Linked DNA regions of Schizosaccharomyces pombe. The gene in region 1 interacts genetically with each later gene. Each region holds a gene or a part of one and is shown in the gene's direction. Other genes may lie near its edges.

The links. A genetic interaction does not mean that the proteins touch.
Region 2: mutations in crr1 (region 1) and ubc6 together harm fitness less than expected from each alone (positive genetic interaction), as found in Schizosaccharomyces pombe (one large-scale study listed by BioGRID).

What each region holds. Positions count from the first base shown.
Region 1 is NC_003423.3:1,654,367-1,663,001, reverse strand, and holds crr1 (glycosyl hydrolase family Crr1), read left to right. Parts: upstream 1-3,925; 5' UTR 3,926-4,556; coding exon 4,557-5,816; 3' UTR 5,817-5,945; downstream 5,946-8,635. Other genes in the region: wat1 (TORC1/2 complex WD repeat protein Wat1/Lst8), read right to left, coding at 1-55; myosin-binding vezatin family protein Inp2, read right to left, coding at 613-1,881, 1,936-2,048, 2,109-2,139; SPOM_SPBC21B10.08C (uncharacterized protein), read right to left, coding at 6,225-6,752, 6,988-7,056.
Region 2 is NC_003424.3:1,214,288-1,219,975, reverse strand, and holds ubc6 (ubiquitin conjugating enzyme Ubc6), read left to right. Parts: upstream 1-4,027; 5' UTR 4,028-4,047; coding exon 4,048-4,074; exon of another isoform or gene 4,075-4,114; coding exon 4,115-4,253; exon of another isoform or gene 4,254-4,337; coding exon 4,338-4,855; 3' UTR 4,856-5,188; downstream 5,189-5,688. Other genes in the region: Ino80 complex HMG box subunit Nht1, read left to right, coding at 1-309; protein mug94, read left to right, coding at 1,089-1,655; RNA-binding protein Vip1, read right to left, coding at 2,032-2,805; RCC domain-containing protein Ats1, read right to left, coding at 5,195-5,688. UniProt on the Schizosaccharomyces pombe protein: Catalyzes the covalent attachment of ubiquitin to other proteins. Functions in degradation of misfolded or regulated proteins localized in the endoplasmic reticulum (ER) lumen or membrane via the ubiquitin-proteasome system.

The sequences.
Region 1 (8,635 bases):
CATATCCACTGCTGACGAGCAGAACAGAATGTTGTGGTGGATACTGTACTGACATGTGGTTAAAGAATGGAGCGCTGTTATACTGTAGTTATTAAACAAACTCGAATACAGAGAGAATTAATGACTGAAAATTTTTAAAATCAATTAAATATGTTTATATTATATATTTAGTAAATTTTTTGTAGCATGACTTGTAAACGCACGATTGGCGATCTATACTTTAAATCTACAGCCATCAAAACTTTAAAAAATTTAACAGTTTTGACCATAAAAACAGGAAAATTCATAGAATAATAGTAAATTCATGTTAATTTAATTTTTTAAAAAATTGCGCCTGCAATAAGTAGCATAAGCATAAGTGTAAAGATAAACTGGTATAACTAAAATATTATACAGGACGAAAGGTTAAGGCAAATTTTTAAGCAACAAAGACATCATTGCTGAGTTGAACGACATTTAAACCTAGATAAATGTCGATTTGTAAATAGTTTATAATAACTATCCTAACTATTAAAACCAACAAGGTTCCGAAAGACGTATAACAGAAACGGACAATAATGGATAAAAAAGATCATAAAAGCAAAATATGGTTTAAAATTCTGAAAGCCAAAATTATTTACGCTTTCGGTGCATGTGTTGCAAGTTGAGAAGTAGTGCTCTATTAAAGTCCCATTCAGAGAGCAAATCTTTGAGCAGTAAACCAACTTGATCATATTCATCCATAGCATATGTCTGCATAGCTGTATTGTCTCCTTCTTGAATATATGAGCTGATAGACTCATGAGTTTCCATCATTACAGAGTGCAACTCGTTAAAAAGACTGCGCAAATTTTCTTTGCACATGATCCTGGGGAAAGGTTTGCTAGTAGTGTTATGTTGATTACGGTTGACCGATTCAACTGAAAACTTTAAGATGTCAACGAGACGAACCATCGACACAGACAATGCATTAGAGAGGTCACCTACCTCCCGGTGAACAATGAGCCATGAAGACCTTTCAGCTAAAAATGAATCAACCGGAAACGATAGTATGCAACATAGAACTTGCTTAGAGATTATAGTTAATTCATAATAAGCAGTTTTGATGTGATTGAGAATTTGGGTGGATTGGTCATCAAAGTCTTGGTTTTCTTTACGGGCTAGGTACATGGAACTCCGTTTTAAGCTTGTTGAGGAACCTTTTCGGAGGTCAAACGAATTTAATTTACCAAAGCAATTTGGAAGTCTATATAGTGATAATAGGTTTCTAAGGTTGGAAGCAGCTGCATACGGATATATTCTTGACAGAACCAGCTGGTATCTAGGTAAAAGCTTCTCATACAAACCAGACAGTTCGTAACTTAAAGTATTTTGTTCCGTAAGATTAAACAATAAAGGATCATTGGCAGGAAGGAAGTCCATTAACCGGGAGCGATTTGCTGCCGAATTTGCTTCCAATTCACAAATTTGGGAGTAAACACGATTAGATGTAGTTTCAAAATCATGCAATAGATTGACAAACTTATTTAAGCTGGATAATCCCATAATACGAATAAAATATGTCCAGCAATGACAAATCCGTATGAGCGAAGAGAAGCAAATATAAGATAAGGCTATTATCTTCACAAACTTTAGATAATGAAGACTTGCCATTGCAGATGATAATTTGTATAAAACAAAATCTATTACAATTTGTAAGCTCAGCAGATAGGCGAAGTATCTCCAAAACTTGCTCGTAGAACTGAACGATGAAGAAGGATAAACCAAAGAAGGCTGTTCTTCATGATGTGACCGCTGTAGCTCGTGATCTCCTACGAGGAGTTCAGATGTATAAATAATGTACTGAATGCTGTCAAAAAAATATTCGTTTTCTCGATCTTGTAAGTTTAGATTAACCGACCCCTGAAAATGTTCATTAGCATATTACAATAACTCAAACTATAAAATCAGACTAACCATTATGCAAGGCCATAGATAAATTGCCAAAAAAGAGATAAACCGATGCCATATAGCAAAAGCGTGCATGGAAATATACACTTTGTATCGAGTCCTCAGAGATGAATACAACCCTAGTGTATTGTGTCAGACAAGAAAGAAAGTCGAAAAGAACAGGAAAGCTTTTGTCTTACCATCGCGAGATAGTTGAGTATCTACGTTCATATCAAACCGTTCAGCCAAACATGGAAAGGCTTTGCTTGCGACACCCTGATAGACAGGAATTTTTTATACAGATGTAATGACAAACAATATGCTTTAAGCAGCAACTTAATTGTAGTTTAAAATCATATAGAAATACTTAAAATCAATGAGGGTTTGCACTTCAGGATAATGGTAAATGAAAATCACACTTCACGAAAATAAAACGCGTAAACCGTTAATCTTCAAAACTAAATAATACCGCTCAAATTACGCTGTTTTTCCGCTAATGTTCATAAGGGAAATGTTTGAATTCCGTAAAACTGTTAAGGATGCGCAGGGTGATGGTAAAAGATTTGATAGTATATGTTTATTTTGCAGAAATATTCGCCTTGACTATATACAAAGTACTTTTATAAACTAAATAGTGTTAGAAAAGTATAAAGAGAAGCTTCGATAGAAAATTATTTCAAGGTTAAAATGAATAACTCGTTGCATCAAATTAGTTTGAGGTGAAAGGAAGGATATGATTCGTAGAACTGCTAATTCTTCCTGAGAATGGTAAATGAACGGAAAGCGATTTTTGCAGTTTGAACACGATTTGATACATGAGAGCAATACAGTAATATTGTATATACAGATGGAGATAAGATTTGGTTGCGATTTAAATGGCAATGAAATAAAGATCTAATAAGATAACCATTAGTAAATTCTTAGCGAACCATGCTTTCCCACCTGCTAGTAGAAGATGTTTGCAATTCAGTAAACAAAGGTTATGAAAGTCACCAGTATAGCTAAATTAACAAAGTTAGCTGATCAATAATATTGAAATCTCATTAAATTACGATGATAATCTGTCTCTTCAATGAAATAAAAACTTAACACTGTGTAGATATTACGACGGCATGCAAAGAAACTGGAAACAGAGACAAGATATAGAGTTTACTAAAGTATTCAACCTATTCAGCGAATTTTAACAAATTCTTTTTCAATTTAGTGAGTTTACTTTTCAACAATTTTACAATTCATCAGTGAACTCTATACTTTTAAATCATTTGCAGTGAATGAAAATAGATCATGGATAATACTCGTACTTCGTTTTGTCTCATGATAATTTAAATACAAAAAGTTGACTTACAGTAGATAAACGTTAATCTACATAATAAATCATTGATGCAGGTTCAAATACTTCTTTCCCCTTCCAATGAATGAAGAAATCCTTTTGTGCTTTAGCCGCACTCAAGTGAAAAAACTCAGGGAAAAGAAAATAAAACGAAGAAAATGGTGATCTTCTTGTTGACGATTTCCTTGGCAAATTAATAAAACTATGCAAAGCGATTTATTAGTTACATGTATACACTAAGGCCATTGCACTATTGGACACGAGGGATCAACATGCCTTGCCTTTTTGGCAATACAATCACATTGCACTCTTTATGAATGTCGTCTACACAATATAAACATATTAACGATTTGCATTGAAATGTCATGTTATGATCAAATTATAATCTTATGCATGCCGCTTCAGATAATGGCTGGTAAAAATTATTATAAAGAGTTATTTGTTTAATAAATAACAATGCAAGAATTAATTACAACACACTGAGACAAGAATTCTCTGTTTATTTTTATAAATTTTTTTATCTATAAAAGAAGTATAATCGCTTTTAAACTCTTGCTTAATGCTGCCGGTTTGATCGGTATTATAACTAATTGACCGAGAACATATGACGAATAGTGAGAATTACTGTAGCGTAACATTTACTAGCAGTAAGCTTCCTTCATAGAATTTTTCAAAAGCACAATCGTGGATTCTCCCACTTACGTGAACGGATTTTGTCTTTTAGTATAAGCCACAATTTCTGGTATCCGCATTCGCAGCCATCATTTCTCAGACATATATTTGCTTTAAGAAGACCCAGTATTTGGCTGCATTAGTATATAATCGCATTTACATGTAAAATCTTGCCTAGTCAGTAAGATTACAGAATCGTTCTTTTAGAGAGGCTGATTTCATAAGTCTGTGTATGTGCGTGTCTATATACTGAAATATATAAATACACTTATAATTAAAGCTGGTTGGCTTTTTATCCTTTCTTTGTATATCACTGCATATTTTTTGTCCATATTATAAACTCCCTATCTATCGTCTTTCGATAATAATTATTTTCATTTTAAACCGCATTTCTCATCTCTACAAAGCATTATCCCATATTTCCCTTTTTTATTCCCCTTTAACAAGATATCCTTGAGTTTGGTTATTTTTACTAGCATTTTATTTCCATTTCTGAACTTGGTGCATAGCTCACCAGATTGGCATTTTTTTATTTGATCGTGTCTCATTACTTCCCGCTCTTTTTATTCTTATCTTTTCTTTCTTTTTGATTTTTCTCGCCCTTCTTTAATTTGTTGAAATTTGATTAACTTTTATTACTTTTGCAATGGGTATTCCTGATTCCACTACAGATTCACGCCATAGTCTCTCATCTGCTGCGTTGTCCTCTGCTAGCTTTGAGAATATTTACGACCCGGCACGCAAGAACGAGTCAACTAATGATGTTATCGACAATCATACAGACACTGAAATTGATGATCACGATAATGACCATGAAAACCTTGATAGCAATAATAATAACGAAAACAATGAAGCCTTTAACGAAAAGGCTGCAGAGAAAAAGTTATTGCCTTGGTACCGACGTTACTTTATTTGGATATTAATTTTTATAGTCGCTTTAATTTGTAGTGTTCTCATTGGTGTCTTGGGTGGTGTCTTGGGACATCGTACCGCTGTACGAGATCGCCATCCTTCTTACAAAGCTAAAACATATAGCCTTGTTAAAGAATATAAAGGCACCACATTCTTCGACGGCTTTGATTTTATGAACATTACTGATCCCACCCATGGCTTCGTACAATACCTTGACCGTAACAGCAGTGCTAAGCTTGGTCTAATTAGCGCGAATAGTTCCAACGTCATTATGGCCGCCGATAGTAAGCACAATTATAGCAGTGGTCGCCCTTCTATTCGTCTTCAGAGTACCCAGTACTTTGAACATGGACTCTTTATTTTGGATCTTATACACTTGCCTTATGGTTGCGGCACATGGCCCGCATTTTGGACTCTTGGTGATGACTGGCCCAATGGTGGTGAAATTGATATCGTTGAAGGTGTCAACGTGGGTACTAGTAATCAAGTCACTTTGCATACAGGTGACGGTTGTGAAATGGAAGATATCAAGCGAGTTATGACTGGTACTGCATTACAAACTAATTGTTGGGTTGATGCTCCAAACTCGTATAATGCTGGCTGTGGTGTTGAAAATCCTAGTGGTCCTTCTTATGGTGAAGCTTTCAACAAAAATGGAGGCGGTGTATTTGTTCTTGATTGGCGTAGTGAAGGTATTCGATCGTGGTTTTTTAATCGTTCTGAAATTCCATCTGACATTACTTCTGGTTCTCCCCAACCTGCTAAATGGAGTGAACCCGTAGCTGACTTTCCAGATACCAAATGCGATATCGACAAAATGTTTTCAAAGCAAAAAATATTATTTGATTTGACATTTTGTGGTGATTGGGCAGGTTCTTCAGTTTATTCATCAGCAGGATGCCCCGGTTCGTGCAACGACTTTGTTGGTAATAATCCTCATAATTTTACTGAAGCATACTGGAATATCAAAAGCTTGGCCGTTTATCAATACTAAACCCCCTTCTTTTTTCTTTTTGATGAATTTTCTTGATTATATAGGCATAACATTAACATTGCATGCGTGATATCATCTCGATATATTGTGTGTAAATAAAATACATTTTGATTAGAACTTGAAGTAGAGAAACATTTTTTCGCATGTGTTTAGCAAAATGCGTAAAATAGTAATAAGCCTAAGTTTTGTCTGAAATTATGCGAGCTTGAATTTTTTAATAACTTGTGTTCTAATGCCATCGTTTACAAAGTAAATTTCGGTCTTAAAATTTCAATAAATTCACTACGCTAATTGATTAATAATATAGGGTTTAGGAATATTCATATAAGGTACTCTTCAGAAATATCAAAAGGTTTGGGATTCGTATATGTTGTAAAAACGTTTGTTCATTTCTGTTGCAAAATACATCTAAGGGCGGTTTAAGAAACCAACGCCAGAATAAATCACTTGCTGAGAAACAGAAGTAGCACCAGAAATTTCAGCAGGACCAGGCTCAATACCACTCTTGGAGTATCTGGTAACGACAGCATATAGGCTAGGATCATCCAAGGAATGAATAATCAAACTTGTGTCAGCTTTAGGATTAACGGTGAGCTGTTGCTTAAGAGTAGCAGAATCGCCAGTATATTCGGTATACAAAACATAGTCCTTGGCATCTGGGCCTAAGTTGTCCTTATCTAAATGACCATCAACAACCTTAAAATTCAATAGTTGCAAAGGCTCTGCCAAAGGAGCATGAGTAGAGGTCAAATAATTGGCAAAAGCAAGGAAGGGATTTGAGGTTTTGTGAGAATTCTCTAATACCTCCTTTGAATCATACAGCTCAAGACCAAAGATATAATCAGGGTTTTTAGCATCACGAGCGAAATAATAGGTTTTAGTGAAGGGTTCTGATTTCAATACATGCTCATTAACTTTACTCAAAAGGTCAAGGATCTGTACATATAGTTAGTAAAGGATTCAAGAAAAGGATAAATTCCTGAACAAAAGCAAACAACAATTACAGTAATGAGAGTAGATTTCTATTACAGCACAGAAGATTTAAACTGACATGTCGTGGCATCTCATTTATTTCCAACTTTACAATGCAGTTGAGATAGACATTTCTCAATTCACCACGCTTATTCTATAAACACCTTGATAATGCTTTTGCATTCAATTTTTAACTCACCTTATCACCTTCACCCTTCTTACCGATAATTTTGGCAATGTAGACGTGAGTACTAGCAGGGAAACTCATAATTCTTTAACAACTATATAACTTATTGTCAAATGCTTTTGGGCAGTTAATTCGTATGAAGTAGTATATTTGTAGTCAGTCACGTGACGGGTTGCATAGAAAATGAAAGAATGCGATCGGGTAAATCGCGGACTTGATGTCAAACCAACCAAACTAGGTATTAAAGTATTCATAATTTTAAGCAAAAGGTTCCATAATTACGGATAGATTACGATAGGAATGCAAAAATAACCTTGATTATGCTACTGTTCTCCAACGTGTCGAACAAACACTTCTTGACGATCAATAGAATTATTATATAATATAGTTGTAATTGGTCATATAAAAATTTGAGAATTGACCTGTCGACCTTGACAAGTCTACGTATTCTACGAAGTTCCATAATTTTTATATGAACAAAGTCTACATAGTACAGCAACTAGTTTCGGTCAGTCAACCGTTCGTAAATTTGAGAGCTTTCATCAGCAATATCATAAGTCTAAGACCACTGGTTTCAAATTTATCCAAATAGTTTGTAAATTAATGCATCCAAAAAGTGTACTGTTCAAAGACATTACTTTTGTTAAACACAATCGCTATGCTACTACTCCCTTCGCTTACTCCGCGACTTGTGAAATATTTGACACTAGCGAAATTATAATTAGTAGTTTTTTGAAACATGTTTACAAAGCCGTTAATTTGAGGATAATTAAAAAAATGTATAGTTAATCATAAAAAATAGTCTGTTCTTTTTTCAAGCGTTTACAATAAAACATATGCAATTTAATATATGCTGATCATTATATTAAGGTTATCTTGAGTAGTAAAATAGGGAAATGCGAACGAAAATCCAACTTTAACAGATTTTCAAAGTGCCCAACTAACCGTATTTTTATAATCATCTTTTTTTTTGGAAGTGAAGTGCTTTTTTACGCTAACCATTTAAACAGATACTTTGAAGAGACATATTATAGAAAACAAATAGTAACTAACACCATTTATTTACAATGCTAAGGTTTTTTCTACAAATTTATTCATATATTTTATCATTGAAAAAAGCAACCATTCTACAAGAAAATCGTATTGTAAGATAGCATATTATCCGTTAGCCATGCAGTTGGTATTATTGTTTTGATGGTACGCTAAACGAAATGGGATTTTAAATCGTGATCTATTTAAAGCGGTAAACAGGTATCAAGTATATTCGTATGAAGGTAATACTTTTATTTGTCACTGAAAATAGCTCATGTCTAAACATGAAGCATGACTTCAGTAGGTTTGCTTAATAAGTATTTTAATAATAATAACAATACTTAGAATCTATTTTGTATAGCGAATGAATAAATAGAACGCTATTATATAACGAGGTTAACGTAATATGTTACTGCTGTCGTTATCAACGAAATAAACTAGTGAACTCGCATACGCTATCCTGCTAGTGTAATTTGTCAATCGTTCGTTGAAGAATGTAGGCTGGTATGTTTGGCAACAACACCACTGCGATTAAATCTTCGTATTGAGGCATCGATTTTTCTTGGAAAACCTTAGACATAAATTACAGGGGATGAAATTTTGGAATTTAGTTTTCTGACATAAAAGG
Region 2 (5,688 bases), on another chromosome or scaffold:
GAGAAGAAACCTTATCATGAAGGATTGCTTGCAGCGCGTGAGAAGGCCAGAGAAGCAAGACGTCGACGAAGTGCGCAAAATTCAGCAAAACTAGAGAAAGAGAAAGCTAAAGAAAAGCAAAAGGATAAAGATCAAGAACAAGACACTGTTAGTGATAAAAATCAGATAGATGAGATAGAAAAAGGGCAGAAGGAAGTAGATGAAGAACCTGTTTCTGAACCCACCACTTCGCCTATTTTACCTCCAAAAAATCAAGAGCCAATTCGTATGGGAGGATTCACCGTTGTTAATAGATCCTCTAATGCTTAAAAAGAGCTTTCTGATGCAGGCATCAGATCAATGAGGCAATGCTTAAACTTTGTGTCTCAATATTAAAGGTTGGATTAGAAACTAATAGTTTGTCCACAATATATTTTCCTCCTCCTTGCCATTTGCAAAACTTTTTCAAGGTTCCGTTTTCTCTTCACATTATTTACTACCATTTATTCTTTTTTTTTGACTTAAAGTCATAAGATTATCAAAGCAAAAATTTTGAAAGACAATTAAGCGAATGTGTGATTTGAAAGTGGAATTAAGGCAATTACCAGCTGGTTTGTGATTAAACAATGACAACACGAGTTCGATTAATAAGTGTTTAATTTTTTTTTCTTTTTTTTCCAACTTTTTTTTGAAATACTGATTTGGAAAAGAGATTCGTGGTAACGACGAATGATTGTATTTTTTATCAGGGAGAAACTTTTTGCGATTATTTGAATATTTCTCTTCATTCTTTGATAATCTTTAATGATAAACTGTTGTATTTTTTATATATTTCTAACCCCAAGTCCTTTCTTATTTGCTGATTTGGTGTTTATAGAAGCCATCACTGTACGCTTGTTACTATGTTTACATTCACCGGAGTCCAAAATGTAAACACCATGGGTATTGTTTATGTTTACACTCCCTTTTTCTCCAAACATATTAATGATTTTGTGAACAGTTGTGTTTTCGTATTTTAGTGAAATTGCATATTACAAAATATCAAAACAGAAAAAAGAAAAAGCCAATATTAAGCGTGTATATTTTGTGAAACGTGAATAAAAAGAGCAATGGATTTCAACAAAATTGGTGACGAAAATGTCGTTTTCCAAATCTTTAAATTGGAGATGCTAATAATGTCGGAATTTCCTAGCTTTATCGAAGAAAAAGATAAACTTTTATGTCTCAACGTCTTAGCAAATCTTCTAGGAGGAATATTTGAAAACGAGGATAAAATAATTCCCAATTATAAAGAAGCCGTCATAGCGGCTCTCTTTGAACGTTTATTGCTATCTTCAAATCAAAAAAGTACCAGTAAAAGCAACCAAATGATTAAATTGCTAAACAATTCGTTAGCACATAATAACGGTTTGCCATCTCAAAGATGCAACCACGATTCAAAATTGGTGTATATGTCGTTAGTACAAAATAATGGTTTACCTGGTCAAAGAAGCAATTACGTTTGCTGTCCCTTATGCATGGAGCAGCACTGTATCGAACTGCTGACTTATCAGTTATTTGCAAAATGGCGAAATTTCCCAAGGATTGATTTTTCACCTGTTCTGCAAGGCAATCGGGGACCGCGATTCTTCTATACTTGTTTTCTGTGCAACTCAACGTTTTTAGCATCAGCGTGATGATTACGACAAATTTCTGCTAAAAGATGGATACATGAATTGCATCCAAATATAAATGATGATGAAAACTACTTATATATATCTTAATACTATCGTTATCTTTCATAGGTTTCACTCCAAAACATGCCAAATAAAAATGTATGTACTCGTTAAGCCAAAACAAATTACAAACTACAAACATACTCCTTTTTCCTTCAATATTGATAACATCATAGGGAATATAGACAGCAATTTTCCGATTAATGGGAGATAAATATCAGCGTATCTTATATAAATAACAATAAAAACTTCAATGAAAGCATTAATTATAATAATAATCGATAATACACTGAATCATTACAACCATCTGAAAAGAATAACAACAAGGTACTATAATTTACTCAGTGGTCTTTGACTCAGTGGTGGGAGCAGTAGGCTCCTTCTCAGCAGGGGCAGTAGGAGTGCTAGAAGCTGGGGAAGCCGTACCTTCAGCTTGGTTTTTGGCATCAGCAAGCCTACGAGCTTCGTTGTGGATGCCAAGCAACTGGTTTTTACCATCTTCATAGGCATTTTGAACCTTTTGTCCGGCAGAAGTGCCAGCAGCAGTTTCAAGAGCTTTGTGGAAATATGTGCTAACCAAAGAAGAGGTGCGGTTCAATTTGTCAGAAATGGCAAATTTATTATCAACCTCATTGGCCTTTTCGGTGACATGATAACGTTCGTTAACAGAACGAACGCCAGACAAAGCAGACTCGAGGATCCCCTTGAATTTTGAAGAAACGCCATAGCTTTGGTCTAGTTGAATACTCTTTTCCAAAGTTACATCGCTCAAATGATATCCGCGACTTAAAAGTTCAGAGATTATAGCTGAACGAGGCTTGTCTTCTTGACGAGCGGCTTGATCGCCTCCAGCACCTCCTTGATCGGTAGTAGAAGCAGCACCACCATCTTCACTGGTGATTTGGATTTTGTTTTGTCCAAGGAGAGCATCTTGCAAAAGTAAGGCCGTCTTGGTGGCGCTAGGGCGTTCAAATTGGATTTTCGCGGTTTGGGTTTCTCCAGATTTCTCGGTAGAGATGTTGGACACTTTACCGCAGAAAGAAAAGAAGTCTGAGATTTGTTTCTCAGTAACTTCAGGAGAGATGTTCGTTACAATAACTTGGTTGCTCATTACTTTTGTTTCAACTGGTAATATGGAGATTCAAAGTACGTTGAGTGCCATGGAGGCTGCTTTTAAGTAGTGATCATCGATGACGACATCCTCCCAATTACGATTAGATTGAGCCCAACGAAAAAACCACAAAAATGCAAAATTTCCTGACATTTCTAACTTGCCCTTAGCCTATATCACGGAAAGTTGACTTTGTGCTGCTTTGTTAATGCCACTACTTCATACTTTAAATCTGATATTACATTAATGAACGTGTGTTTTCAAAAGATTGCAATTATCGCGATAAGTGAGCCTAAATCAAAATGAAGCTGAAAATAGATGACAATTATCTTTTTATCTGAATATCACGATACAATTTTTATTGGTCACTGTAAACTAAATAGGATAACACTTAGATACTTTGCTGTACTCATGATTTCTTGACTTGGTATACTAGTTGGCTTTGTTCGTTGCATGGCAAAGTGCATAAATTGTGGAAAAAATATCCATTAAATTGCTATTACGAAGTAATTTCCGCTTCTACTATGTTTCGATAAATTCATAAACTTAGGACCGACATTAATTTTCCCGATATCGGCATATCCGGACAGTGAAAACTGATGTTTCTAGAAAACCGAATTTGCTGGATCGCCTTTACGGTCTTTCTAAAGAATGCGAAAGAAATATATGAATAGATTACCTCGCTTGTTCCTTTTCTCATGTTAGTCATCCAAATTGTTTCTTATTGAATAATGAGCAAAATTATCAGGTATATTGAGAAGGCAAGAGAAATATAAATGTTAGACCTACAATAAGTAAAACAAAGATAAGTTAAAGGCTTTCCTTGCTTCAAAGCATTTTTTAATCTATTTTCTCGATCTTACTTCCTCAATGTACATAGGTTAACAATATTTATATTTTACATTTGGGCTTAAGCTGCGTATAGAGAAAATAAAATATCATAAATATCATAGGTATATTGCTACAAAAGATAGAAATGAAAACCTCTTTTACAAGTAACTGTGTTATATTTACGAATTGGTGATTTGAATAAACCGTTGTACTTGAAGTTGGCACCTCACCTCGGAGTTTGTTGGTGTTTTATATTGATTAACCTACAAAGACACTTAGTCTAGTAGAGATTGTGCTTTGAATTTGTAAAAGACAAGAATCACCTAACTAGCCGCTAACCTGGTAATGTAACTGTGAGCGGATTATATGGTTACATGTTTTCTCACTTCCACAAACTTCACAAACACAACGATGGCGTCGAAAGGTGCTTATAAACGGGTATGGATTTATAATTTTAAGCTTCTTCTAATTATTTTAGTTAATGAAAGAATATCTAGCTCTTCAGAAAAACCCTGTTGAGCTTGTTGACGCTAAACCTGCAACTGAAAACATTTTGGAATGGCATTATATTATCACTGGCCCTCCGGACACTCCATATGAAGGAGGACAATATCATGGTATGTTTCTTTTAAATTTCCTTCTGTAATCAATATGTGCATGAACTTTTGGCTGTTGCCATCCTTTGCTAACTTTGCGTACAGGGACATTGATTTTTCCTCCCGATTATCCTTTTAAGCCACCTGCAATTCGCATGATTACTCCAAGCGGACGTTTCCAAACGAATACCAGACTTTGTCTTTCTTTTTCTGACTTCCATCCAAAATCCTGGAATCCCTCATGGATGGTTTCTACTATTCTGGTGGGACTCGTTTCTTTCATGACTTCTGATGAGATTACCACTGGAGGTATTGTAACTTCGGAGTCTACCAGGAGAACTTACGCAAAGGATACGAAGAGATTTAACATTATGGATAATCCTAAATTCTTAATAATGTTCCCCGAGTTAATTGACAAAAATAGGGAAGACATTGCCAAAGCAGCTGCTGAAGCGGCCCTAATCGAACCCCAACAAATTCACTCCACTCCTGTATCTTCCAATGAATGCAAGAAGAATGAACCGTTTAATTCAAAGCAAAGCTGGGTTAAAAGTCGCTGGAGCATAGCAGTTTTGGTGTTTTTTGCCCTTGCTTTAGCTCGTTTTTTTGGAGCTGATTCTTAAGATGTTATGCTTTGTATTTATTTTATTAACTTATGAAAGCGTTTTTGCATTTGATCCTCCGATAAAGAGATTAATGCCAAATAGCGCTTTGCCGTCCTTATATGTTTATTTTTTTTCTTTCGTTGCCTGTTGCCCCTTCATCTCTGCATCACATGTCGCGCTTCAATTAAAACTAAATGGAAGTTAATCTTTGTTCTAGTTTCTTTTTATAGACAATTGTCTCTTAGCAATTGCTTGATTTTTAGCTTACTAAACTACATTTTTTTAAATGTCGTCAAATGTTATTAAAGCTTCGACATTTCGGTAGAAAATAAAATTAAATTTTAGTTACTCAATTCATTATTTGTGATTTTCTTCAATCACTATCCAACTCGTTGCATATCCAGCGGCCACAATATAGGCCCAGCCTGGTAATTGAAGAGTTTTTGCATCATAAACATCTCTTTTATCATCATTCGAGGCATTTCCATGCTCATTCCAACCGTATATTAAAACACTTCCTTTCTTTGTCCTTAAAATATTGTGCTCAGTTCCACTGGCGATTTGGACGATATCACTTGCTTTTGTATGGGCCTTCTGAGCACGATCACAACGACCAAAAGCATAGACACAGCCTTCAGTACTTAATAGACTCAAGGTAGACCAGTTTGCTGATATAGAGCAGATGGAAGAAGACAATTCACTGTTATTTGCTTGCCAAGCATCACATTCTGCTGCTACATTCCACTTCTCCCCTCCTAAAACAATTACATGTCCTGTTTCTTGCAATACTGCACTGAACTGTACACCACATACAACAGCTTGAGCATGTTCAATACGCCCGAGAAATGAAA